2 linked regions of the Kluyveromyces lactis genome follow. The main gene of each other region encodes a partner of the protein of the gene in region 2 in a complex. Links are inferred from orthologs where the notes say so. Each region holds a gene or a part of one and is shown on either strand. Other genes may lie near its edges. The genes, in order: RPS5 and RPS12.

Region 1 (2,706 bases), on a different chromosome or scaffold from region 2:
TGAGCGATGTTTGTCTGTTGAGGTTCGAAGATCCCGATCGACATAGTCAGAGTTACAGTCAATGAATGATTTATGAGCTAAGCTGGTCTAGCCTAACGTAATGTAAAAACTAATTTGTTTGTTTGTATTATACTATACGAGAAAAATACTTACTAGCTATAGTGGAAACACTGCTTCTAATCTTATATATTGAGAATGTGCAAAAAGTGTAGCGTTTCTTTATTACCTGTGTAAGTGTTCAAAAGGTTTGGGATGTCTTGAATGGAAGAGATAAACGGTGGGATGGATAAGAAAGGGAACCCACGGAAAATGAAAAATTTTGACACTGAATAGATCCCTTTCTTAGGTGGCATTATCTCCCAATTCGATGTGGTAGAGATGTGGTGGTGATTTAGATGTGGTGTATAACCGCGATACAGACACTCGCAACTCCAGTAGGTTCAAAGAAGATGTGAAAATGATTTGTGAATAGCCCGAGATATATCATCAAAATAATATTAAAAGGAAGTAATTAATAAAAAATAAATGTAATGTTTGACAAAAAACATGTAAATATAGTAATAATTCTTTCCTTAACGGTTGGACTTGGCAACTCTTTCCAATTCATCCTTCTTCTTGATAGCGTAAGAAGTAGAGGAACCCTTAGCAGCGTTAATCAATTCTTCAGCCAAAGTTTCAGCGATGGTCTTGATGTTTCTGAAAGCAGCTTCTCTGGCACCGATGGTCAACAAAGCAATAGATTGGTTGACTCTTCTCAATGGAGAGACATCGACGGCTTGTCTTCTGGCAGCACCACCACCACCGACTCTGGTGGTGTCTTCTCTTGGACCAGAGTTGATGATAGCATCAACAACGACTTGTAGAGGGTTTTGGTCGGTCAAAACGTTGATGATTTCCAAAGTGTGCTTGACAATTCTGACAGCCTTCAACTTCTTACCGTTGTTTCTACCGTTCATCATCAAGGAGTTGGTCAATCTTTCAACAATTGGACATTGAGCCTTTCTGAATCTCTTGTTGGCGTAACGGCCAGCAGTGTGGGCAACGTAGATTGGCTTGCTGATTTGGATGTAGTCAACCAAAGAAGCGTCCTTGACTTCAACATCTTCAAAAGACCATTTGTTGAACAACTTGATCTCTTGTTGAGCTTGTTGAATTTCAACTGGAATGGTGGTAGCCAATTCAACTGGAACAAATTCTTGAACGACTTCAAAGTCTTCTTGAACTTCAACTTCAACTTGGGCTTCGTGTTCAGACATCTTGATATATGTTATCTACGTTCCTTACGGTCCTCTTATTCTCGATCAAAACGAAGCTACCTAATAAAGATAAACACGAATGTAATACAAATATCAAAAATAATATCCAATACTGAAAAACCTATTAAACAATAATATCGCCTAATAGTACTGAAAACCTACAAGTCTTCCATAAACCTCTAAAAATTGACATCCTCCATACAATCTATAGAATGAACTACTCTGGAAAGAAAATCAACAAACCTTCGTTGTACCTGACACTTTCTGAGGGGACAGTTCCTCCCGCGCACCACTCCTAGACGGGAAAGGTCCAGGGTCGGCGCTGCTAAACCTAGGCTCGACCTGGTTTCCATCCCGTCCCAGGAGGAGATTGTGGAAGAAAGAAGGTAGGCAGAGGCTTCCACTACTGTGATAGGAAGTCAGCCTCCTGATGCTCCCTGTACAAATTCAGTATGTGTTACTCGCCTCCCACATCGAAATTTGGTGTTAGAATGGTTCGCAGTTTTCAAAATACCAAATCAGGAATATCAATTTTGGATAAACTTTCTTAATTTTTCATATTGAATGTTGGTGTGTGGGTGTTGAAACAGTCCAACATTCTGTCTTCCTATCATGTTTTTTAAGGTACTATCTATGACTGCACAATAATGGCGCATCTTCATTTCCTGGAAAGGCCGACGAATCATTCCGATTCTATCGATGTTCTTAACGATTAAAAGATGCATTGGTACGTGTAATTGATTTCTATAATATTACGTATAAATAGGTATGATGGAATGTCATGTAGTATTGGTGGACGCTCAGTGTATATATTCTTTTCAGACTCTGTGTTATTGTTCTTGTTCTACTTCCTCCGCTTCTGTCTCCTCGAGAAATCGATCCAACCATTCCAATTTTATTGAACATGCGACAGTTTCTTTATTTGGTAGTTCGACGTATGCATCAATATCGTGATGGTGTTTTAGGGCGTGGTAAATGTAGTCTTTTCTGACAACTGCAACTCCGATATTACCGTTATAGTTGATCAATTGTCCGGCCGGTCTGGTCCTTTTCTTAACGGGTTTTGATAAAGAACCAAACGGATTTATGGCTGCTTGAGTGTCCTGGTTTTGTACCTGTAGTTCCAATTTACTGAAAATGCTCAAATATTTGGAGTGATCCCAATCGGCCAATTTTTGAGGTTCATCGATGGTAATACCAACGCATCTTTTTTTCAAAACTCCAGTCGCAAAGGTTCTTGCTGTTAATTCTTGGCCAACGTAACATCCCTTATCGCTGTTTATAGAATCCTCAAAATAATCGAAATTCGCTTCCAATGCTAATAATGTTTCTGGGATGTATTCATGGTTCCCATCAAAGAGGCCAAATTTAAATCTCTCTTTTTGAATCTCAGTAGCTGATATATTGGCCTTTTCGAATGGGTTTTCGCCAAATGCTGTGCAATTAAATA
Region 2 (2,391 bases):
ATACGAGCCAGTGCTCGGATTGCTTCAAAAATCATGATACGTAGAGATGTACATGGTTTGATGACTGTTAATATATTGAATGAAACGAAGGATATACTAAGACCTAATGACCAGGAGTATAAGAGGACTAGAGCCATTTCAGGTAACAATCTACCAAGTCATTATCCTGGGATAATTATTGAGATATGCATGCTTGAGAAAGCTCTTCCAGAGCTTCCAGACGTAAATGAGATAAAAGTAATGATGATTGAATATATGGGAAGTGAATCGCGCCATAATTTCCTTCCCAATACACAACAACCGCCGAAGAAAACTGCACATGACGATAAAGAAGAGGAAAATAGTGACGGGTATGAAGCTGCTTCGCAAGATTTGCCGCTATTCTTCTAGCGCAACCCTGCTTCGACAAGCTGAATTAATCAGGTTGGAATTAACGTCATTTTAGGTATAGATGGAAACTATTTGTAAACATATAGATACCCTAGAATATATATACAAACTATAAAATAGAGCATTTTATCAAACCAAACAATGTCCATATTCCCATGAAGAAATCTGTTTATGTTATTGTTGAGTATGAGAAAAATGAGTAAAACAGAAGCGTTAAATTGGATTTGAACATAGATTCAAAATCCACTCATTTATTGTTGGCTGAAATGTTCCAAAAGAATTTCTCTTTCTTGGGTGTCAGCACCCCAGTTCTTAACAACAACAACGGAAGCACCGACGACCTTTCTGGCGTTACCGTCACGGTCGATCTTACCCAAACCGGCCCATTCACCTAATTGCTTGGCATCAGCAACCTTGATTAATGGAACGTTGTTTTCAGTGGCCAAACCTTGGACCAACTTGCTGATGGCTTCTTCAGTAACCGATTCAACCAAAACAGCTAGTTGACCTTCACCTCTGGTCAAAGCCTTGGCAGATTCTCTCAAACCTCTGGCCAAACCATCGTGAACCAAAGAGGTTCTCAAGACGACCTTTAGGGCATCTTCGATGGTCAATTCAGCGACTGGGACTTGTTGGACTTCTTCAACGTCAGACATTTCTAATTTGATAAAATTTTCTAAAGTATTGACTTCTTCGACAGTGGTACTGCTCCGTGAAGACTTTAGAATAACATAAAACTAAAAACATACTAAACTAATAAGAAGACCATCCGAAACGTTTTATTCAATACTCTTCAACATATTAGCTTAAATCATGGGAATTCAAAATATAAAGCTTCCACCATTCACCGTGAAAAATAACTTTAAGGTTTAGCGCACTATATACGTTCAACACTTAAGATATTTCAGAATCAACAGACGACAGCGGAGGGCAGAACAACTGCGTCCTTTTCTTTCGCTGTAATGTCCAGGTGTTTTCGTGAACATTTTTCTTAAGACTAGTCCGTGGTGGCGCGTACTATGTTGACGTGTAGATGCCATATTTGGAAATTCTTTAGTTTTCTTCAGATTTGAGGAGGATTTTGGAATATGTACGGGTGCAAACAAATATGACAGTCACTGGTATTTTAATCTTGTTCAAGTCTTTTCATTAAGATTAGAAGTGATGAATACAACAGCATGGGTCGCGCTTCGTAGTTTAAATATCAATAAGCGCTATAGTCTAGTAGTCGTTCTGTCAACTCTGACGATTCACGAATTTGAACTGCTGTTTGCAGACAGTACGGATGTCATAAATACTTTCAGCATATCTCCGTTGAAAAGTCCGTCATTATACACCTGGGATATCAATCAATGGTAAGTTTACCAATGATATTGCACCACGTAGGAAAACATCACAGCTTTCCGTATCCGTTATAAGACCTCCTACCGTCCATATGTAGTCTTGATCGTAGACGATGGGATTACATGATAGTCTCAGCGCAGACAAAGGCATATCTTCCGTATATTTTGTTCTGGCTCTATTCATGATGTTAACAACTTCGAAGTTTCTAATTACCCGAGATGGTAAACTGATGAACGTGAAGGTTCCATCGGTATCATGCATGGGATGTTGATGTTTTTCGTCATACTTGTAGTCTTTCCAGTATAAAGAAGAATCCACGTCTTTTTGGCTCAATCCTCCAATTACCACGGTGATCTGTTTATTATGTACAAAAGTGTGTCCCGTAAGAGGAAATTCAACTATTTTGAGCTCTCCGGTCTCTTTGTCCTTGGCTTTCAATGATAGTTTTGTCCAAGTTCCCTCATCTAAATCATAACACCACATATCACCGTGAATAAACTTATTTGCGGAACCTCCATGTATTATTAGCGACTTATTTAATCTTTTGGGACTAGTGCTGGAATTCATGGTTCTTCCTGGAATCATCGGCTCGTTTACAACGGGTTCATCGTTAATATTGTCAACTATTTTGAAATTATGCATTAGTCTGTCTAACAG

The links.
Region 1: RPS12 (region 2) and RPS5 share a complex: the UniProt entries of both Saccharomyces cerevisiae proteins name them as parts of the small ribosomal subunit. The link is inferred for Kluyveromyces lactis from reciprocal best matches to the Saccharomyces cerevisiae genes RPS12 and RPS5.

What each region holds. Positions count from the first base shown.
Region 1 is NC_006040.1:908,990-911,695, forward strand, and holds RPS5 (40S ribosomal protein uS7), read right to left. Parts: upstream 1,257-2,706; coding exon 573-1,256; downstream 1-572. Other genes in the region: IBA57 (Iba57p), read right to left, coding at 2,087-2,706. UniProt on the Saccharomyces cerevisiae protein: Component of the ribosome, a large ribonucleoprotein complex responsible for the synthesis of proteins in the cell.
Region 2 is NC_006042.1:18,405-20,795, forward strand, and holds RPS12 (40S ribosomal protein eS12), read right to left. Parts: upstream 1,047-2,391; coding exon 642-1,046; downstream 1-641. Other genes in the region: RAD17 (Rad17p), read left to right, coding at 1-390; GPB1 (Gpb1p), read right to left, coding at 1,720-2,391. UniProt on the Saccharomyces cerevisiae protein: Component of the ribosome, a large ribonucleoprotein complex responsible for the synthesis of proteins in the cell.